Linked DNA regions of Rhinolophus ferrumequinum. The protein of the gene in region 1 interacts with the protein of each later gene in a biochemical or structural test. Links are inferred from orthologs where the notes say so. Each region holds a gene or a part of one and is shown on either strand. Other genes may lie near its edges.

The links.
Region 2: of the proteins of PELI1 (region 1) and IRAK4, one has a biochemical effect on the other in vitro, tested with the Homo sapiens proteins (4 studies listed by BioGRID and IntAct). The link is inferred for Rhinolophus ferrumequinum from reciprocal best matches to the Homo sapiens genes PELI1 and IRAK4.
Region 3: the proteins of PELI1 (region 1) and UBE2V1 form a complex in vitro, tested with the Homo sapiens proteins (3 studies listed by BioGRID). The link is inferred for Rhinolophus ferrumequinum from reciprocal best matches to the Homo sapiens genes PELI1 and UBE2V1.

The regions. Positions count from the first base shown.
Region 1 is NC_046296.1:25,734,969-25,742,939, forward strand, and holds the start of PELI1 (E3 ubiquitin-protein ligase pellino homolog 1), read left to right. Parts: upstream 1-4,863; 5' UTR 4,864-5,202; intron 5,203-7,971. UniProt on the Homo sapiens protein: E3 ubiquitin ligase catalyzing the covalent attachment of ubiquitin moieties onto substrate proteins. Involved in the TLR and IL-1 signaling pathways via interaction with the complex containing IRAK kinases and TRAF6.
Region 2 is NC_046293.1:46,386,577-46,394,415, reverse strand, and holds the start of IRAK4 (interleukin-1 receptor-associated kinase 4), read right to left. Parts: upstream 3,193-7,839; 5' UTR 3,106-3,192; exon of another isoform or gene 2,926-3,105; intron 71-2,925; exon of another isoform or gene 6-70; intron 1-5. Other genes in the region: pseudouridylate synthase PUS7L, read left to right, coding at 7,068-7,839.
Region 3 is NC_046306.1:9,444,242-9,451,655, forward strand, and holds the start of UBE2V1 (ubiquitin-conjugating enzyme E2 variant 1), read left to right. Parts: upstream 1-4,222; 5' UTR 4,223-4,324; coding exon 4,325-4,346; intron 4,347-7,414. UniProt on the Homo sapiens protein: Has no ubiquitin ligase activity on its own. The UBE2V1-UBE2N heterodimer catalyzes the synthesis of non-canonical poly-ubiquitin chains that are linked through Lys-63.

The sequences.
Region 1 (7,971 bases):
ATAACAAATTTGAAAGTGCAACAGAAGGATAGCTGCTTTGGTCAAGGAAACGTAGATATGAAGATGAAGCAGATGGGAATTAGAGGCTTACTCATTTTCCATGATTGAATGGTCCTGAATTCAAAAGACTGCAGGTTTTGAAGAACTATACAGAACTGTATGGTGGATTTCAAGAAGAGATCCACATGTTTTGATATGTAAATGATTTTCTACACCTGACTTTGGAGTACAAACTCCAACATATGTCTAAATTGAGGTATATCTATCTTATTATTGTGGCTCAGTTTCAAAGTATGCATATTGACTGAGTATTTACTGTATTCCAAGGACTGCGCTAAGTACTTTACATGTATTTTTCTCCTTTAAGAAAAACTGATCAAATAGTAATGATATTCATCCAAAAGATGGACTATCCCTGGAATTTTAATGACAAACATATGAATCCCAGAATTATGTTGAAGTTGCTGGCAATGTGGCCAAATTCTGGGCAATGTGTGGGTCTACCTGATGCTGAAAAACATGCTCTATTTCATGAAACTACTATAGGCTTGTGGCTGTTCTGATTAGGTTCAGCTATACATAACATAGAATACAAAATAAAAATCTCTTTAAACAGGAAAGAAGTTTATTTCTTTCTCACTTAAAAGAAGTCAGAAGGTGGAAAGTCCAGAGCTGTATGGAGCTTCCGGTCACCTCCATAGTCATTAGACTTAGATTTCTTCTATATTTCTGTTTCTACATTCTAGCTTTTTTTTTTTTTTTTTTAGGATTTCACTTTGTCTCCACTATTGACTTATTAGCTATACCTGTTTGTTTTATTTTTGATGGCTGTTGTCAGGTTTAGAATATGCTCTTTTAATTTACCACAATTTACTTTAAATATTAGTATAACACTTCATATGTAATGTAAATTCTAACAATTGAATTCCCCCTTCACTCCTTTGAACTATTGTCAAACATTTACCTCTACATTTGTTATGAACTCTATAATACAGTGCTATACTTTTTGCTTTAAATAATCAATTTAAAAAAATTTTATTTTTTAATGAGGGAAAAGTCTTTTATTCTTACTCATATAGTTACCATTTCTGGCACTCATCATTCTTTAGTATAAATCCAAGTTTCCAGGTGATATTGTTTTATTCATGCGCAAGAAGTTGCTTTAATATTTCTTGTAATGCAGTTCTAATGGCAAAATTCACTTAGCATTTTTTTCTTTAGCCTTCATTTTTTAAAGATATTTTCTCTAAATATGGGATTCTATGTGACAGATTATTTCCTGCTTTCAGCACTTAAAAAATGCCCTTGCATTGCAGAGTTTCTGATTAGTTTACTGAATTTTTGTCTTTGTTTCTCTGTATACATAATATACTTTTTTCCTCTCACTGGTTGCTTTTAATATTTTCTTCTTATCACTAGTTTTCAGCAGTTTAGCGATGGTGTCTTTTGCAGTGGTTTTTTTGTGAATGTGCACAAATATGTGTGCTTAGGGCTTCTTGAGTCTCTGGGTTTATAATATTTATCAACTGTGAAAGTATTTTCAGCTGTATTACTTCAAATAATTTTTCTGTCACCCCCCCTCACCCTTCTCTCACCTGGAACTCTAGTTACACATATCTTAGAATACTTAGTATTATCCCACAGATCACTGAGGCTCTATTTTCCTTTTCGTGCTTTTAGTTTTTTTCTTCGTGTGCTTTATTTTGGCTAGATTTCTACTGCTATGCCTTCAAGTTTACTAATCTTTTCTTCTGCGTGCCTACTCTACTTCTGAGTGTTGACTCCCTTCAGTGAAATTTTTATTTCAGAAATTGCAATTTTAATTTCTAGAAATTCCATTTTTTATGTCTTTAATTTCTCTCAGCATATGGAGCACATTTATCATAACTGTTTTAATGTTCTTGACTGCTAATTCTACCATCTTTATCATTTCTGGCTTTGTTTACGTTGACTGACTTTTCTCCTGGTTTTAAATAACATTTTCCTACTGCTTTGTATGTCCTAGTTCTCTTGCTAGTTCCCAGGCATTTTCATGATCTTCCTGCCTACTCCTTAAGTTCTGGGTTTCCCTAGGGTGCTATTATTGACTCTTCCGTTTCTGTTGTGTATACTCTTCCTGGGTGATCTCATCCATTCCCATAATTTCAACTATCATCTATGTATTCCAACTATGTCTTCTGCAGTCCGATCTCTCTTGAGAACACTAGAGTCATATATATATATAAAACTGCCCACTGCACTTCTCCATTTATATGTCCAGAGACATCTAGAACTCAACACAGCCAAAGTGAACTCCTCAAATTCCCCCTCAAAAGTTGTTCAATCTCCTGTAATCCCTAACTCTGTGAATGGCATCACTAGCTCATAATCACATAAGGCGGCAATCTGTGAGACATCCTTCCCTTTTCTTGTAGTAGACGTTGCAGTCCCCCACTTTCCTTCTGAGCTTCAACTCTTCTTTTTTGGGGTAATCACCTCAACTTTCATAGGAATATCCACACTTCCTCATCACAGCTTTGTGGGAAGCTTACTCCTTTGGGTCTAGGGACAGGGCATATATCTTTACCCTAAAATAATTAGCTTCATACCATCCCCTGGCCACCATTTTTAGCTTATGTGGACACATGAATCAATTCTTGAGGCTTCTGGGAAAATAGTTTTTTCTTCTTTCTAAAAGAGTTTCCAAAAATGACTCGCTGTTCTTTTCTCTTCTTGGACCTAGTGGCAAAACTTATAGCCACAGGAATTGTTGGTAACTGTCATTTGACCATAAAGTTAATATACCAAGGAAGGAAAAACAATGAAACAAGAAAGAAACTTGTCCTTAATGACATCTCTGAGTTGTTTAATCATTCACCCCTGTAGCCTGTCTTTTCATGGGACTTTTAATCTAAACAGTTAATATTGGCTTATTGATTAAGTCAGTTAGATCTGGCTTTTTTACTGCTTGAAACCAAAAGCATCATAATGGATAACTTTCCTTCACCCTTCACCCCCAAACACAGGCAAATACTCACTAGGTTCTATTAATTCTATCCCTCAAAGTGTCTGATTACCTTCAGTCCTGTCTTCTGCCACTGCAGGTGCCTTAGTTTAGGCTCTCATCTTTTTAAAAATGCATTTCTAAGATGCATATCTTATCAAAATTTCATCTGCTTAAAATCTTGGTAGGACTTTCCATTGCTTCCAGAGAAAAGTCCACATTCCTTAGCATACTATGCTAGGTTCTTCATGATCTAAGCTGTCTCCTTTAGCTTTTCTGTGTCTACTCTTGCTCGTCTCCCAACCTCCTTTTACTGTCAGCAACGTTGAAGTCTGCTGAACCAAAATACTCTTTGGTCTCATGCCTCTAGTGTTTTACTCTTGCTGCCATCCACCTCCACCCCCAATGCTCTCACCCACTTCTGTCCTCCCCCTCCTCAAACACATTAACTCCTAGTCATCCTCAAGTTCAAACATTCTTTGAAGTATTTCTTGACCTTGCCTGGGTCTGGAGTAGCCGTGTATCAAAGCATCTGGTGTACTTTCCTATTATAGTATTTATTACACTGAGTCTGCACAGTAAGCACTTTGAAAACAAAGAATGTTTCTTTTACGTTCCTGTATTGCTGTTTCTGGGACCTAATAAAGTGCCTGGGTCGTAGTATACTCACTAAATGGTCTTTGAATGAATAATTATGTGGTCTGCAACCATAAGGATTTCTGATCTGGAGGCTGTATTTCAAAACCTTGACTTTTCCTGCTCTAAATGTGTTTCTGATTTCTAAGCATTAATTTTTTTCTTCCAGGGTATGGGGTTCTAGGTAGGCAGAGAAGGAAAACAAAAGAGTTTGACACAGGTTGACTTTAGTTGGTCCTCTGAAAATCCAGGAATGTGTCCTGCCTTTCACCACCCTCCTCCACCACCTATTCACAAATAGATGACCAGTATGGGTGTAGCCTTAGCTGACCAGCCCAACAGCATACTCAGACCTTGGTTCAGACTTCTCTTATTGCCAAATGAAAGTATATACATAATATATATATATATATATATATATATATATATATATATATACACATATATATATATATATGTATTAACAATTTTCAACTTTCCACTTATTTTTTGAATTTACACTTTATGAAATTTGTATTTTTAAAAAATTAGAGACCTTAAAAAATCTGGATTATTTTACACTGATCAAGTAAAATACAGTGATCTTAACCCTGAACTTTGCTGGCCTTCAAGTTAAATGTGACTAATGAAGTGAAGACATTAACTATGGGATTCTGGTATTGTTGTTTCTAACAGTTTTATAACCTAATTGTTAAGGTACTAGAAGCAACTACATTTCAGCAAGTCTTAGGTAAAAAAACAACAACAAAAAAATATGAATTTAAGGCAGAAAGTTTTCACTTGAAAGAGGGGACGGAAATGAGTATTTGCAATTCAGGATTTGTGGGATAAAATGAAACAGCAAAGAAGACCGAAATATCAGGAGGAAGTCAGATTTCACTAAGCACTTGTGAGTGGTAAGGCTAGAAGTTGGGGGTGGAGCGAAGTAGGAAAGTCTAGCTAAGGGCGGGATCCCTAATACAAGCACCATAATACAAGAAGGGCCTTGTTCAGTCAGCAGCAGCACTAAACACGTTCTCTTCTTAGTGTCAGTGACCATAGTAACTGTGGGGGGGGGGGGGCCGAGCCTCTCTCCCCGAGCATGCGCAGTGCAGGACGCGTCCTCAACAATGTATCCCTTTTTTCTTCAGTGGGAGAACTACAACTCCCAAAAGACCATTCGGCGCCGCGGCACCGCCTCCCGCTGTGGTGCTGCCCTGTCTCCTCCCTCCAGCCCCGCCCTCTTGCTAGTCCCCTCCTCTCCCTCCGAGTGTGTGTCAGTGACCCAGAGGCGGTGAGAGGCGGAGGGACCGTCGGGGGGCGCCGCCGCCGCCGCCTCCACCAGCAGCACCAGCCTTGCCGCGCGCTCGGATTTGCGTCGAGCCCTCCGGGAGCGCACCACAAAGCGGGCCCCACGCCTCTCCCTCGGCCCGCAGCTCCTCCGCGCTCGGCTCCGCGGCCAACTTCCCCTTGCCGGGCTTGGCCGGCTGGCGAGGAAGACGAAACGCCGCGCTGTCTGCTCGCGCTCTCCACACACGCACACTTCACCCTCTCGCTCCGGGTCCCGGAGTCGTGCTGGGATTCCGACCACCAGCAATTGTCCGGTGAGTGTCCGCGGCGCGCCGCGGGAGGGATCGCGGTGGGATCGGTGAAGGGTGCGGGCCAGGCGGGCACGCAACTTCCTCGGCGGCTTCCCGGGGCGACGGGCGGGCTCTTTCGGCCCGCCTGCGCGCCCCCGCGCCGGAGGCGGCCGGGAGCCGAGTTTGCGGCGCCTGCATCCCGCGCCCTCGCTGGAGGAAGCGCCTTTGTCAGGAGCCGGCCCGGCGCGCCCTCCCCCTCGGTCTGGGAGCGGGGCGATCGGCCGCCAAGTCCGAGCCCAGCACCCCGCGTCGGCCGCCTTCTGCAGATGGGGAGCTCCGCAGAGGCGGGGAGGAAGAGAGAAATGAAAGAAACAAAGGGGGCAGTGGGCTTTTCTTTTGTTTGTGCGAATCTGGTAACTTCTTTCTCTTTCCTTACATAATACAGACTTCGAAGTTAGTCATTCTTTTTGTTATGATTATTGTCATCTCTGAGTGTCTCTCGCGTTTCCTTTCATCTCTGGATCTTAGAGCATTTTAAAACACTAATTAGTTACACCTCCGGGCCCCCTACAAAACAAGTTAATACACCCGTTTCCGTAAGTGGGTAAACTGAAGCCCGGAAGAGCTCTCTAATTGATGGATACGCTTGATCTTCCAATCGCGCCGGGTATCTGAGGACCTGAAAGCGTTTATGAGTAGGAACTTGTTCTCCAATGCCCCGTGGAAAAGTTAAAGATGCTCATTTTACTTATAGGTTAACTTAAGTCTAAAAGAAGTCTGGGTAATTGTTAGGTAGTTCAATCACTCTTTTACATAGTGTTTGAATCTTAGAACCTCAGAGGACTTTAAAAAGGCTCCGAGTGGGGAAAATACTGTAAATCATAAACATCTCACCATCTACTTTTATTTTCGTATGTGCAGGTCTCTTACAAGGCAGAAGAGTAATGATCGGGAAGTGGGAGGACAGAGATTTTTAAATGTAGGTTTAACAGATTTTAATCACTGCACCCAAGAAAACGTGTCTTGGTTTTAACAGCACCAATAACCTTACCATCGTTTAATCATCAAACAGGATACCAACAAGTAATTAAGTCAGCATTTAACCATAGGTGCTGGTTGTGCTAAGGACTGAAGTTTTAACTGTGTGAAAAGGTCATTTATTTGTTTTGGTCCAAAGGCTGTGTATTTACTCTGCAAAATGTTATTTTGTTTTCATAGCAGCTGATCTTTTGTTTCAGAACTGGCTTTGTCTTTTTCTACATTGAGTATGTATTTTAAGATTGAGGAGAAACAAGGTTTTTTTTATTTAGTTTGCATAGTAGTGTGAGTTAAAATTTTTGAATTGTAAAAAATGTTCAGTTTCTACAGTTGTTTAAGCTTATGATATTTTCTTTATTTCAGAAAATGTTTTCTCAGAGTGATCAGATTTACAGCTTTTAAAACATTGTCCTTATTGTACAAATACAGCATATGAATTCGTTACGTTTTTTATTTATACCAACAGCCTCTTCTGAAGGAAAATACTTGACTCTGAGGACAAGTTGGTTTATTTTGGTAGTTGAACCAAACTGGAAGGTACCAAAAATTTATTTTTTTAAATTTTTTTAAATTTATTGGGGTGACAATTGTTAGTGAAATTACATAGATTTCATCCAAAAATTTAAATCAAGCATTATTTCTACTAGTTATTTCCTGAGGTAAATAATGATGGGAACTGTAGTAACAGTGTATACTTTCACTTATCCTAAATTCTTTGGAATTTAATTTTGTATTACATAGTTGCCCCCAGGTTTTAGATTCTGATGGTTACATCAGAAAAGTGAGACATCTGTTATTTTGATATTTTCAGCCCCCACCCACCCGTAGTCCTCTAACCCATTCCTTTTCTGTAGTATGTTAAAAAGAGATCTTGAGTTTAAAACAATTAGAAAATAGAACAGTTAAATGTATGGAAAGTTGCGTGTAGTGAAGTAGTTTTAATACCTCATCTAATAAATTTACAACTTTTAAAGAGAAAACTCACCTAGGTTTTTATTAGTGTTATAGAAGTGCTCTAATGTAATAATAGTAGTATTTGTTGATTTGAATAAAAGTGAGCTGTAAATTGTATCTTCGTGGCAGGTTTGGTCCGGGGAGGGGGAGGGAATGTGGAATCTGTGCTCTTATTAAAATTGTCATGCAAGTTATCTTACAGTTGGTTATGTTGAACTTTTTCTGTAGCATTTACAAACCAAATTTATCAGAGGCATTTTACTTTAAGGAAGCTACTAACAGTATCTTTGCTCAATCACAAGTCCAAAGGCAGAAGTTAGTGTTGGCCTGTAAAAGCTGGTATTGCAAGTTCCCTGATTTCTTTGGGACCCCTTAAAGGAAATGACTGAAAAGTACAGTGCAAGGAACTGGGTCTCTAGTACTGCTAAATGGTACAGAGGCAAGTTTCAAGGGGAAGCCTAAGTATGTTTCCGTTTGACTTTGTTTCATGTTCCTTTCAGGCTTTCAAAATATCACTTGTATATTAAGAGTTCTTTCATTTCAGGATATACCTTGTGGTTGTCCAGTAGGTCATATGATAAAGACTACAGGAGTCCTACTCTGTGAACAACTGTTTTCAGACAGAAGCTTCTATAGCTGAGAAAGATTTTAAGCTAAAAGACTTAGAACTGAAAACTATTTTTCTAACATTCTCACATGCATCTTACATAGCACATCAATATGGACCTATCTTAGTATTTATTAAATCAGAAAGGCTTATATGGATTATTTTATTACATACATTTTTAACTATATATACTA
Region 2 (7,839 bases), on another chromosome or scaffold:
TTTACCTCTCTCCATGTGGTTTTATTTGATCTCCATGGCCCTCGTTCTCAGCAGGCAGTCACCTTTCCTTCTAATTAATCAAGACAAATAGATTCAGATATTCTCCTGCCAATTATTCTCCTGTTCCCCTATATATTTTTCTTTTTAAGATGCAATATAACTAATTTTTGGAGTAGAGAATATATTCATGTGGTACAAAATCCAGAAGTTATAAAAGAGTAAGAAGCAAAAAGTCTCTCTGTATCCTGGACCTCTGTATTAGCATTTTCTTCTCTTTGACCTTCTTTGACCATTACATCTACGTAGGTCTATCTGCCCTCAACCTAAATATCTTTCATTACTGCACAATTTATTTGTAACCATAAATTTATTTGTCCAGTTGTTTACTGTCACCCCCATCAGACTAAGAGTTCCACGAGTTCAGGGACTATGATCATTTTATTTACTAATATATAACTAGTAACTAGCACATTGTAGATAATGGTGTTGTTACATGTTCCTGCCCAGTACCATGCAAGGTGATTTATACACTTCACTTAATCCTCAAGGTGACTAATGCAGTTTTATCATCTCTATTTCACAAAGGTAGTAAGTAAAAGAGCTAGGACTTGAACCCATATCTGACTTCAAAATTCATGCCTTATGTCCCTGCTTCTATAACTCAATGCGTTGTTCATTTCACTCTCTTTTCTAGAAAGACCAGTCATTTCCTTTCTGGCTTTTTCTCAATGACCCATTTCAGGCCCTTGGAACATTTTCCTACAGATATCCCAGTGGCTGACTTTCTCATTGATTCAGACCTTTAATCACCTTCTTTGTTTCCCTCACTCTTCTTTCTCTGTAGTATCTGATCTTTCATGAATTTAAGATCAGATGCAGTCTCCTAAATGTTTGAATGTTTTCTTCTGCATTCCCTGACCATATACTTTTTTCAGGTTTACATTTCTGCTAGATTATTGCAAAGTTTTCAAATTGGTCTTCCTGCGTAAATATACATCCCTACATTCAAAAAAACATACATGTCAGGCTTTGCAATAAGTAACAGGAGCTACAGAGAAGAGAAAATCTTTTGTTTTCAAGCTGTTCAGTCTAGCAGGGGATAAAACAATTACAGTGAGTTATAAATGTTGCAAGAGGTATGTTTTGGGGCCCAGAGAAGGGACATCAAGCCAAGCCCGTCCGAAGGAAGTATATTAAGACAGATTTGGGTGGGTTGGGAGGTTGGAAAGATGAATGAAAAGGAATGAGGATAAACTCAAGGAAACTCCAGGCAGCAGGAACAGCACAGGGGAGCATAGGTTAGGCTCAGGCAAAGGGTTTGCTATGGCTGGACCACAGGATGCATGTCATTAAGTAATAAGAGGTGACGCTCGAGAAGTAGACAGGGCCAAATCATCATGTACCGCATATGCTATGACAAGGAGTTTAAACTTTATACTAAAAGTTACAGGACTTTAAGGAAAGGTGTTATTTGGCTAAGTGGATTCCTCTGGATAAAAAATTGAAGGGATGTATATTTACGCAGGGAGACCAGTTTGAAAACTTTGCAATAATCTAGCAGAAATGTAAACCTGAAAAAAGTATATGGTCAGGGAATGCAGAAGAAAACAGTCAAACATTTAGGAGACTGCATCTGATCTTAACTTCATGAAAGATCAGATACTACAGAGAAAGAAGAGTGAGGGAAACAAAGAAGGTGATTAAAGGTCTGAATCAATGAGGAAGTCAGCCACTGGGTATCTGTAGGAAAACATTCCAAGGGCCTGAAATGGGTCATTGAGAAAAAGCCAGGAGATAGTGAGACTGGAGAGGGAGTAGGAAAGTAGCAGATTAGATGAGAGAGGTAACAGAGCTAGGTCTCTTAGAGCCGTATACTTTGTATTGACTTTGTTGATCCTTGAGCAAGATGAGAAGACAGTGGAGGCTTTAAGAAAAGGAGAGACAGGCTCTAAACTGGTTCTTAAAAGGACACTGGGGCTGCTGCTGAGAATAAAGGCTCCTGGAATAAGGGCAGAGAAGAAGGAAGAAACCAGTTTAGTAGAGTAATCCAGTAGTCCAGGTGGGAGGTACTGGCAGCTTGGACCACAGAGGTAGCAGAGAAGGTAGGAAGACCTAGGATGCTCAATATTTTCTGAGGTACAGCAATGAGAATCCTATTTGCTGATATGAAAGGTGAGAAGATAGCATCAAGGTTTTTGGCCTAAACAAGTTTCCTGACATTTACTGAGATAGAATAGACTGTGGAAGGCACACGTTTGGACTGGAAGATCATGAGCTCAGTTTGGACAGGTTAGAAAGTACACTTCAAAGGAATGTTTAGCTTGCAAACAGGAGAATAAAACAACTCTGAACTTTCTGACAGATCCTTCAAGGCTTACTCCAGAAAGAAAGGGCAAGGCAGAGTTAAATGTTCTCTGTTCTTAGGGTTCCTTGGGGGCAGATGCGTTTTTGAGGCACTAATAAGAGCCATTTGTTCCCATTCTAAATGGCCACAACGCTTCCTCAATTTCTCAAGGTCTGCTTTTTATTTCTGTTTTCTCTCTTGCTTCTAGGCTGTCAAGTACACTTTTCCTATCTGATAATGCACTTATCTGAACCTTACAACTCCTCTCCACTTTCTAATTTCCTGGAAGCTTGGAAGCCAGAGAAACAAACTAATTAGAATCTTAGAATCTTGTGCAGGCTCAGCATGCCTTCCAAGCAACAAGCATCTCTGCTGGGTGCTGGACTTACTTCCTGGTTCTCAGGAAAAAAAGATTTCATTTTGTAAACCCGCACTCAGACGGAACACAACTCATAGGAGTTGAGACTCGGAGAGAGGAACGACTGAGCCACAGAATGTCTGGGTGACGCTTCTCCACGCCCCAGATTCCTCTTCAGGTCCGAGTAACTTTTTGATCCCCAGGGACCCAACCAAGTCTTTACCCTGGATCAAGCTCGGTCCACGCCACCTAGTTCCTCCCGAACTTTTCTCATTTGGAAGATAAGAGGCTAACTTCCTTCCGAAACGGTCCCTGAACAACCCTGGGGCAGGGAGACTGAGGCCGGGGCGCGGACTTCGGACCACCTGCGGTGAAGGATGCGCGCACAGTCGGAAATCCTTACCTGCCCAGACGCGGGGCACAGGAGGCGGACTGCACCCCGCCCGGTAGTGCCCGCCGGTGAGGAATCGGGGCGCGGGGCGGGGCGCGGGGCGGGGCGCGGTGGGGCGGGGCGGGGCGTGACGGGAAGGGCTCCACACGCCAGGCCCCGCCCTTCCCTGCCTCTTGGCCCCTGCGGGCGGCGTCACCAAGTGGGAAAGTCCTAGTCGCTTCTGTAAGTAGGAGCCTGTCCCTTTAAAAACGCCTCCGTCGGAGGCGAAATATATTGTCTTCCGGGCATGCGCACAAGGTTGTGCAGGGGCATGCCTTCACCTGGAGGTGAGGTAGACCCGGTGGAGCATCTAGCGTCATGTGGGCTTCTGTATGGGGCGATGACATGATTGGCGTTGGGACCCCAAGCCTTTGCCCCCGAGCGGAGGGTGAGGTGGACGAGGATTGCGCCTTGGGACTGGCGGGTGTGGGGGAGGGAGGAGAAGCACGGGGAGCTGGTGGCGGTGTCTGAGGGTACTTGTGGACGCGCCAAAGGCCACCACGCCGGAGATTTAAATTCTGCGGGTGGGGGACGGAGCGGGAAGTACGTAGGAGTGAGTTCGGCGGAGCTTCGGCGATTAGTGAAGTAAGAGCGTAAGGGAAAAGGCGCTGTCTTCTCCATTTCTAATATCTTCCTTGTATCTGTCTGTCCTCAACCGGGAATTCACTAACCTTGGGTCAGACTACCTTACCCCTCTCCACCTGGCACCCTCATCGACCAATCGGTTGCGGAGGAACACCGCACAGTTATGCTGAACTCCACGTGGGCTCCTGGGCTCCCTCCCGCTGGGTTCCGCTCTTTTCCTAAGATGCTTGGTTGTAATTCCCTCGTTGTTACACATTCTCCCCGAGTTACTTGTTCTACCCATTGTATTAGCTTAGAATGTCTTCATATCTTCCTTTTACTGGGGTAAGAATTTGTTATTATTATTCCCAAGGCCGATCCTACAACAATAGTCTTGATTACATTGCTTCCCTAACACTGCTTCTGATTCATCCTGTACGGTTCCATCAGGCGTCTTACCAAAACATCATTTTAGATTGTGTAGTTTTCCTACCCAAACACCTCCGGCGGCCATCCATTGACCGCTCTGGATTCTAAGCCCTTGACAGGGCATTCAGTGTCTTAGATAGTTTGGCACTGATCCAACTGTATTTTCCAGAACTGTCCAGAAAACTTTTTCTCCTACAGCTCTGTATCTGGACTGTTCAGTTTTCTCTACCACATTGCATATTTTGTTTTTACATTACTTATGATATGCCTCTGCCTCATTTCTATTGCTTAGACAGTTTTGAGGACTTAGATGGCCACGTCTTGCATTATGACTTTACCAATTATCATAGGCAAAAGCGACCTTTCTTCCTTTTCACTCTTACCCTCTTATTTTATAATTTAATTTATTCAACTATCAGTAATGATTGCATGCCTACTATGTGCGTGACAGTGTTCTAAATGTGAGATAATCAGTGAATAAGGCAGACAAGTTCTTGCTTGGATGGAGCTAACAATCTAGTTGAGGGAGATATACAATAAATAATGAAAATTATTAGATAGAAATACTATGCAAAAAGCTAAAGTTTTGTGAAAGAGAGTGACTTGCCGGTTCCTTTAGACATTGGTCAGGGAAGACCTCGTAGGATGTGATTTGGGAAGGACCAATTTCATCAGCAGCAACAGTTGGTACAAAGGAAATGAAGTCCAGTGTATCTGGAGTATAGTTGGAAATGGGGAAAGGTTACAAAATAAATTTGTAGACTAGACAAAGTCCAGAATCTTAGAAATCTTTGGAAGTCAGGGAAATTTGAATTTCATTATAAATGTGGTTTGAGGGTTTTAAATCAGGTTGTGATATGGATTAATTTACCTTTTAAATCATTCTGGGTGTTACGTGGACCAGTAGTAGAAGCAGAGATTAGAGGCCTTTACAATGTATAAGAATTTATGGAATGAAGTACAAAGTGGAGGTGATGAAAGGACAGCAGGAGTAATCAGAGAGCCAGATGCTTAAAGTTGATGCAATTTTTGGTGATCAGAAAGTCAAGGCTATGACCAAGATGAAGTGGAAGTGGGTTGAGATTCAGATTGAGGAACTGAGACACTGTGATGTTAAATGGATGATCCATATGGATGGTCCTGCAAGTCATGATGGTTAAGAAGACAGGGAACAATAAAGTCTTCAGTGAAGAAGGAAGAGTCATCCCAGGACCAGAGAGAGGATGACAGCAGATGGCAGAGTCTGATGGCATGAACTTCAAAGGAACTGGGGTTTGGGGAGGTAGAGGAGGAAGAAATGGTTTGGAAGGAGTAGTGGCAAACAAAATATTTACAATTTCCAGGTCCTAAGTTAGGTGGGTGTGAAAGGAAAAATGGCTTTCACTTGAGAGGACTACAGAGGAAGCAGCCTGGGGGAAATAGCCAGGTTTCAGTGAAGGCTAGAAACTGAGGAGACTGTACAGGAAATTAAGGAATGAAGGAAAATAAATATATCCCTCTATATTTCCTAAGAAATAAGGATGTAGAGAATTTGCTCTGATTTCTACATGGCATAATAGGATGGAGGAGGGGAGTTTGCTAAATTGTTTCAGATTAGTATAATACATTGTCAACATGGAATGAAGGTCCAGATGATGATTAAATTACCTGGAGAGTGTGGCTGACACAAAGGAATATTACGGGGCCCTGGGCATTTTAGCTTTCCTGTAGCTCCATCTGGTGTGGTAGCCATAGGTTGTGTGAAGAGTGAGTGAAGGCCTCCTTACAGAACTATTCTCTGGTCTGCTGCTTCAAGAAAATCTGTAAGGGTTTCTTCTCTCTGATGACCGTGACAAGGTTGGAATTTCCCTCTGAGTCAACCTCAGAAGTTTGTATCTGTAAAAGTTTTTATATGGGCTTTCAAGAAGGCTTATGGTTCAAGTAATCACATGGCAAGTTGGTATTTAGAGCTTCATTTGTCAATTTGGCCTTTTTCTTCCTGTCTTCTCATCCTTCTCCCATCCCTAACAGCTAATATATAAAAATCTAGCCACAAGTTCTCTGGATTTAGCTGGAAATTTCAGAGGTAGGGTTTAGAAAATCACTGCACACATTGTACACAGTTCTTTGTTCTTTGTGGGCCTACAAGTGACATATATTTTTTAAAGATTTTATTGGGGAAGGGAACAGGACTTTATTGGGGAACAGTGTGTACTTCCAGGCCTTTTTTCCAAGTCAAGTTGTTGTCCTTTCAATCTTAGTTGTGGAGGGTGCCGTTCAGCTTCAAGTTGTTGTCCTTTCAGTCTTAGCTGTGGAGGGCGCAGCTCAGCTCCAGGTCCAGTTGCCGTTGCTGGTCGCCGGGGGCACAGCCCACCATCCCTTGTGGGAGTTGAACCGGTAACCTTGTGGTTGAGAGGACACGCTCCAACCAACTGAGCCATCCGGGAGGCAACTCAGCTTAAGGTGCCATGTTCAATCTTAGTTGCAGGGGCTCTGCCCACCATCCCTTGCGGGACTCGAGGAGTTGAACTGGCAACCTTGTGGGTGAGAGCCCACTGGCCCATGTGGGAATCGAACCGGCAGCCTTCGGAGTTAGGAGCACAGAGCTCTAATCGCCTGAGCCACTGGGCTGGCCAACAAATTATATTTTTAAAGTGAAGTTGAAACTGACTCATTTTAATCCTGAACAATAGATGGAATCCTGGAGTGGATGAAGAGTCAAGTTGCAACTCACCAGTTATACCAGAAAAAGTTTGTATGTTAATTCATTTTGGTATAGGAGGGTCAAAATACACAGGATATATAGAAGTAGATTATTAGTGTCTATTAAAGGAGTCTCAGGATTGAAAGGGAGAAAGAGAATTAAATAAATCCTGCAAACCTATTTCTTTTTGTGACCCACAAGTTTTCTTTCTAGTAACTGACTGCCTCTCTGTTTCTTTTGTAGGCATTGCTATTTAAGAATGGAAGAGGATACAGATTTTAGAATCAGATTTAGTTCTTTGTGTTTCATTACTGATCATGTTGGATTTCATGGCACTATAAAAAGCTCACCAAGTGACTTTGTTGTTATTGAAATAGATGAACAGGGACAGTTAGTTAATAAGGCCACTGATGAACCTATTGACAAGATTAGTAAAGCACTACCCAAGCCAAATAATTTTGCAAAGAAAACAAAACTAGATCTTCAAAATGTGTCCTTGGAAGAGGGAAGCGACCAAGAAGTCAATACTTTGGCTGGGTTTTCCAATGATGACCAAAATCATCAGACTGGTTCAGAAAAGGAAGATATAATCAATGATGGAACTTCCAAATGTGAAGAAGAAAAAGTTGATGTATTAGGCTCTTTGTTAGATAAAAAAACTAGTGAATTACTGAATCAGTTTGCTTGTGCTATAAAAGAGAAGTGGGATTCTAAAACTGAGCTAATTGGACCATCTCCTGAATTCTTACTGGGCACAATCCTTGACAAAAACCAGAGGGCTATTTTGCATAGTGCTATTAGGCAGAAGTTTCCCTTTTTAATAACTGTAGGAAAAAACAGTGAAATTGTTGTAAAACCAAATCTTGAATATAAAGAACTCCTTCACTTGGTATCCGAAGAAGAAGCACTTGACTTTTTCAAATATTTGGATGCAAAGAAAGAAAATTCCAAATTTACCTTTAAACCTGATACAGACAAAGACCACAGAAAAGCTGTTCACCATTTTGTTAACAAAAAGTTTGGAAATCTTG
Region 3 (7,414 bases), on another chromosome or scaffold:
ACTTCAGACACACCTAGGGAACAGAACTCCATGTATGTGCCATGAGATGCCACTAGCAAATGTGTCACACACACCCTCAACCACAGACACCTCCCTAGGAATTATACGCTCTGTCTTCTGGGTTCCCGTGACACTTCCTATCAACAGTTCGTCAGCTTTACTTTCTGTAGTTTGTATTATACAAGCTATAGCACGGAGGTTGGGGTTTTTCTTTAACTCTAAATGGGAAATATAAACAAAATTATATAATGTTATCCACAACCTTGCTATTCAAAGTGTAGTCTGTGGGTCAGCATTGGTATCCCTTGGAGCTCATTAGAAATGCGGAATCTCAGCACTCCTCACCCCCATGGAACCAGAATCTGCATTTTAAAAAGATTCCTAGTGATTTGTGTCACACAGTAGAGTTTGAGAAGTGTGTGTTGCTCCAAAAACTAATATTGTAGATTTTGTAAAGTATATTGCAGTTTTTACATTTTGAATGTACTGTTGCAAATTATTCATGCCTTTCACATCCAGAGATTCCAAAACTGCCCAGATGTTTCCCCATCTTTTGAGAACAGTGTTTTTCAGTGAACACTGGGGAACCGTCCACATCTATATATCTCTTGATTGGAGCATTGTGCCAGCTTCCTGTATCAACTATGTATACTTCAGGCTGTAGACCACATACACTTACCTTTAAGAGCAGCTTAAGCAATAAAAACAATCATTGGATCATGTCTTAAGAAGCCTGTTGGTAGGCAGTCCCTGGATTCATCCAGCAGCTCAACTACATCAGCCAGGTCCTAGCTCTTTCTGTCTTTCTGTGCTGGCCTCTTTGGTGAGACGGTAGGCTTTTTGGCCTCAGGCTTGTGTCGCATGGTTTCATTATGATTGCCACCGCTCCATCCATCACAATCTCATCTTTAGGAAGGAGGAAAGGGGACAAAAAAAGGTTTTCTCTTCTGCTGTTATGAAGGGACAAAAACTTTTCTAACATGCCCCCTCCACAATTCATTGACCAGAAAGAACTAGGACACAGGTACGCCACTGGATCAATCACTGGCAAAAAGAAATGGTAGTGCCCATGACTGGCTTGGATTCACACCTAAACACTGGACCTTCTGGCGCGAAGGGCCATGGAGACTGGACGGAGAGTCAGGAGTGTCCGACGCACTTCCTCTCTGGACTCCACACCTCCAGTCTTGCGGCAGCCCAATTCAATCTCCTCAAGGCAGCCAGGTTGCGTTTGTAAAAATGCAAATACGCTCACATTTTGCTTCAAACTTCTCAGGCTCCACCTTCCTCACCACAGAGGAAACAGCAGGTGACCCAGGATTAAGAGAACCCAATTCCAAAACTGGATTTTACTCCTTCGTGTTGTATGACCCTGGGAAAGCCATCTAACTCCTTCCAGCCTCAGTTCCCTCATCTGACAAGAAAAGATCATAATAGCTACTTTGCAAGGGTCAATGAGGATTAAATAATAATAATAATAATAATAATAATAATAATAATAATAATAGTGGTAGCTAATACTTATATAGCACTCGCTCTGTGCCAAACCCTTTTTTAAATTCTTTAGTTCTATTAACCATTTTAATATTCCCAACAATATCATAAAACAGAGCTCTCTTATCTGCACCAGCTGAAGCTACCGGCTCAAGCGGAGCAGGGACCGGGCCCAAACACGCCAGAGAAATCCCGCACTGGGGACCGGCTGTGACCTCTGGGGAGGGGGCGGAGTTTCTCCGAGAGAGTGTGAGCAAGGGGAGGACTACAACTCCCAGAAGGCTCTGCGACACCGCTGGACTATAATAACCAGCATGCCCGGAGACTTCCTGCTTAACCTATTCCTCCTGCTAGGTATTTTGCATAGGAATTTGCTTTATTGTCGATAAATATTTTTCGCTTGCCAGAAATTCCCTATGAGTACCAAGGAATCTACGCAAGTAAATATTTATGATCATCGTGGATAAGAGGCTTGTGTTTCAATCCTCATTGTTAGCTGAAAAAGTCAGTTTTCTCATCTCTAAAATGGGGATATACCTAGGAGATGCCGCATTGAGTTGTTGTGTTGCGACGATTAAAACCTGGATGTCTTGGTAAATGCCATTTCTTCTAGTGACCCTCCTTCCTCTGTGCCCAACGGTTTTATTTTGCTGTTTATTTATGCTACCTGGGCATTTTATTTCCACAACACCCTATGAGGTTGATACTATCCTTTTTTCAGAAGGGAAAACTAATGCCAGGAGGGGTTCAAGTCTCTTGCCTGAAGTCACACAGCAAAGTGAGTGGTGGAGGATTCAAACCCAGAAAACTTCACTCTAGAGGTGAGTCCACCTTAGGAGCCCAAACGCTTCCCACCTGCTACCTGATGCTTTACAGGGACCCAAAGATCAGGGCAAATATTTTCCATTGTCTTCAAGGTAAACTGGAATGATGTGATACATGGAATGTCGAGATGCTTGCCTGTGGCCAGTGCTGGGAAGGAGACACTCTTGACACTTTGCAAATCGATTACGGCTGCATTTGATCTGGATGGCGAAATTAGGAAAAGCTTCCCTAAGAGGGCGAACATCTTCCTGCACAGAAGAGCAGGAACAGTCCAGTCAAAGGCCCTGAGGAGGGAGAGGACTTGTGTTCCAGAGGCCTTGAAAAGGGCCAGTGTAACTGGAGAGGTACAGCAAGTCTGAGGTGCAGGTAGTGAGTGCCATGGAGGGGTGAAAGTTGAGGGTATACCTTTTAGGGAGGCACAGCGTGAAAGCCTCCTTAAATTTGATTCCTTAGACTCCTCACTGGCCCCATCCTAGTCCTAGCCCTAGGTGCAGGGCCTTGTGGTAGGGTGGCCATCCGTCCTGGTTTGCCCTGAAGAGTCCTCGTTTCTGCTTGCTGCCCTGGCAAGATTATACTAGGCCCACTTTCAGTCTGACGAGTGTCCTTGTTGGAGGATCATTCTATGGCCACTCAGTTTGTAGTCTGTATTCTTATCCCAAGGTAGTGGGAAGCTACTGAAAAGTTTTCCCTGATGGGTTTTGGAGCAGACTCTGGCTGCCATGTGGAGCATGGATCATGGGGTCATGAATGAAGGCTGCTGGGGTCATCCAGTGGGAGGAGACAGGGGCAGCCTATCCTAAGGAAGAACAGTGGATGGAGTTGAGAAATGCTCAGGAAGCATGGCTGTCAGAACAAGGTGATGGCTTGGATGTGCTGAGTAAGGGCTTCCGGCTTTCTTGTTCCTCGGTACTGAAGTTCTGGTCCTTCCTCTGCCAGTGTTTAGCTGTGTGACCTTCAAGCAGTTCCTTTACCTCTCACAGCCTGTTTCCACATCCATATAAGGGCTTCTCAGACCATCTGTGGTAAAGGGGGAGTTGCTTCTTGCATTGAACATGTACCTGCAAATATATGTCTCCAGGACGTGTAAACAGTTTCCTCTACCTCCTTCACATCCTTCAGGTCTCCATTAAAATGTGACCACCTTAGGAGTCCCTCCCTGACCACCCCCTGCTGCGCCTTCCCTGGTTTACTCTCTATCCCTGGTTTACTCTCTGGTTTACTCTCTATGTTACTCTCTAACATAATCTCATAATTATGTTCTTTCCTGTTAGTTTACTTGCTCTCTGTCTCCGGCTAGAATGTACGCCCGTAGGAGGAGGGGCTTGCTTCTTCAGGGATGTATATCCATCCCCAGCACCTAGTACAGCACCTGGCCCATAGTAGATGCTTAGTTAAGTGTTTGGATGAACAAATCGATCGATGTGTAAATGAGTGAATGCTTTTCCTGCCACTCTAATGCCCCAAATTATTTAGTTGCCCGGTTACAAGCCTCCTCTGGCGCAGGAGCATCAACCCTAGAAGCAAGAAGATCAGGCCTGGGTTCAGATTCGGCCTTAGCCACTTAACAGCTGAATTTAGATAAATGGCTTAACCCGACTCAGCTTCGTTTTTCATATTAATCTCGACCTGGTAGGGATGTGGTGAGGATCCAACTAGATAGGAAAATGCTCGAAACGAAATAGGCGCTTTTTTACAATTGTCTTTTCTTCTCTTTCTCTCACAATCTCGCCTCCCAAGTCTGATCACCCCTGCCCTTCTCACCAAGCATCTCAATACCTCCTTCGCACCCAAGCCCGGAGGGACTTGCACATAGCCGGGCCCTCGCGCAAGCAAATATTTCCTCTATCTATAAAGGCAGGAAAAAAACCTTCCCCAGCATCGGATCGCGTGGTCCGCGGCAGGCGTCAGCGATGACGTCTGCGCCTGCGCGCACGCTTGCGCAGAAGGGCCCAAGGACGGGTGGGGGGTGAAGAAGGGGCCGGCCTTCGAGCGACAGCGACGCAAGATGGCAGCCACCACGGGCTCGGGTGAGCGGGGGCGCCGGGCCCTGCCGGCCGAAGGAACGCGGGCTCGGGCCGGGGGTCGGGGACCCGCAAAGGCCCTTGCAGCGGGACTAGGGCCTCTGCGCTGCCTCTGTCCGCCAGGCTCCGCGGCGGCTGCCCGGCGGGCCTGAGTGGGAGGAGGAGCAGGCGGCGGCCGGAAGCACGGGCGGGGGCCTGAGGGGCCTGTGGGCGGCGCGGCGAGGCCCAGAAGCTCCCCCGGGCGGCGTGAGGGCCCCGCAGGGAGGAAGGGACGGGCCCCGCGGCGCTGCTGAGCGGCGGGAGCGGGCGAGGGGAGCGCCCAGAGGCACTGCTGAGGAGATCGGGGCTGGCGGCTCTTTGGTGGAGATCGAGGGGTTCCGTAGAGGAGGAGGAGGCGCCTTAAGGCTTATGGAAATCCTTTTCTGCATGCTGTTCGTCCGGGTGGCGGGGGGAAGCCTTGGGATGTTCGTTTGGCGGGGACTTCAGAGAAGCCCGTCAGGATGGATGGGAGGAGGAAACGGGATCCTGAGGAATGACTGAGAGGATCCCCCATTGGCTAAGGGGACGGCTCCTGCGTTAGTTTTGGGGATGAGGTTAGCTGAGGAAATCTCTGTGTTGATTAGAAAAGGGGCGTCTTGGGTGGCTACGTTTGCGGGGAGTAAGGGCATCTCTACACAATAAGTGAGAAGGGTGAAAGGATCTCTCAGGTTCCTGAGGGTGCCGGTTGGGGCAGCCGATAGTGAAATGATGCCATCGTTACCAGCCCCTATTTGAGGACACAGATGTTAGGCTTTAGGAGGCAGGCTCCGATGGTGCAGTTGGTGGAGACTTGCGATATTGGGTGAAGAACAGGTGAATTGGGAGCCCTGGAGGTGTTTGGTGGGGGAGAGGGGAGTCAACTGAGGGAAGCCCCATGCAGTGGATGAGAGTGGGAAAAGGTCGGGTTTCAGAGAGGTTTCCTTTAAAGAAGAAAAATCTCCTTTATTGGCTGAGGGAAGCATACCCCGGAAGTGTCTGTTTTGTGGAAACTGGCACTCCCTTCCAGTCCTTTGGATATTGTTAATATGATATGTGGCTTCAGCTCAGAAGTTCCCCATTGGCTGGATGGGTGTGGGGAGAGGAACAAATGCAGTGGGAATTCTTGGGTGACTGCTGGGGGAAGGAAAGCTGAGGAAAGCCCCACTTCTCCAGGAGGGCAGGAGAGAATGAAGGAGCTACACCTTGGAGGAGGGGGCGTTCGTCCAGTCCCTAGTAGGTTGAGGGAAGCAGCACTTATTTTGAGACTGGATTCCCTGCTCTATGCTCTTAAGATGGGCCTGAGGATCAAATCCTGAAAGGTCTGTTTCAAACTTATCCTGCAGCTGGACATGAGGGGACAGACTCAGGTGGCCTTCTTGAGGAGGCAGGGGGAGGATTGGCTGGGGAAGGTCCCCCAGAGGGGCTGAAGAGGTGAGAGAGTCAGATTCTGGAAGTGCAGCATTTGGGGGTGACAGTTTCCCCCTTTGGTGACGAAGCTATACCCTGAGGCCTTTGGCAGTCAAGTTGCTCAAAAAGGCCCTCCCAGATGGGGTGATCATGGTGGAGGAAGTAACAGGGCTACTAGCCTGGGTACTGAAATCCTCTGGCTATCGAAGGCTGTTGACATAAAGTGAACAGCGTGAGAAAATCCATGTCTTTCCAGGATGTGGCTCCTCCAGTATCCCAAGGAGCCATTCTTGCCTGATAATTGGGTGGGAATAGAAGGAAATGTATGTAGGGGATCTAAAGGAAGTGACCTACCACCGCTGCCTTTTACACTGAAAGCAGCAGGATCTTCCTGGAGGATAGAGGAGACCACACATGCTTTTCCTAGACTTTGGTTTCAGTTGGAACAGTGCCGAGTCAATTCGTTTACCAAGACACTGCCATAGACACTCAGAAGAGAGAGGCTGAGTCAGGCCAGACTGCTGTGGGAAATTTCTCACCGGAGTAACACCTCTGCCAGGTTGCTATGACCTGGGGTGGGGGCGGGGTTGGGGGGACCACAATGTACCCATAGCAGCCAGCGTTACGGTAGTATTGCAACTAAGCCCTGTTGTCAGTCACTTGAGATTGGCTCCCTACCATCCGGTTTAACTGCTACTGAATTCTAACTTCCTGAGGCCCTGCCAACTGGAGTGCTTCATAAATGCAATGGTGGTCAGATAAAGCAATGTCAGCTCCTGGCTAGTGGAGTACAAGAGCACTTGGCATGGTTTAGATAACGTGGAACAGGCTTTGAGGTGCCCTAAAATGGGCTTCCCCAAACTGCTTTGTTTATTCAACAGATATTTATTGAGGGCCTGCTATGTCCCAGGGTGACTAGTGAACAAGATGGACAAAGCCCTGTCCTTGAGCTTCTAGTCAGGGAGAAGCCTGTGAAAGGAGTGATTAAGAGAATTTCAGATAGCAGTACGTGCTATGAAGGAAACTGTGATGTGATCAATGATCTGGAGAGGTAGTCAGGGACGCCTTCTCTGACATGGGGCTTTGAACTGACGGAAGGAGCCAAGCCTGTGTCACAGGCAGGAGAGGGGGAGACAGTGAATGCAAAGGCACTGGCAGGGCCAAGCTTAGCATATTGAATGAACAAAATAAAGGCCGTAGTGTGCAAGGGAGGCCGCTAAGGATGATGAGTTGGAGACAGGGCTTTGGGTTTTATTCAATGTAAGGGGAAACCATTAAGCAAATGTCTGGTATGAAGTAAGCATTCAGTAAATATTTGTTGAATGAATGAATGAATGAATGGTCTTAAAAAGAGGGGAATGACAAGATCTGGCCTGTACCCCCAGGCAGTGAAAAGAGTGTAGAGTGCTGAGAGTGGAAGCAGAAAAATCTTAATTGGGTTCAACTGAAATGAGTGTGCAGACCCCTGCTTTCTAACCCTGAGAAGTCTTTGAGATGTGGTCAGGGGCCCCGAGGCCTTTCTTAGTCAGGTTGAGAACAAGCCTCTCGATTAATCTGCCCCTGGTTGCCAGGAAACAGCTGTGAAGCCTTTGAGTTCCTATAAAGGCTGAACTTAGTTTTTTATGGTCACTGCTTTCACACTTGGCTTC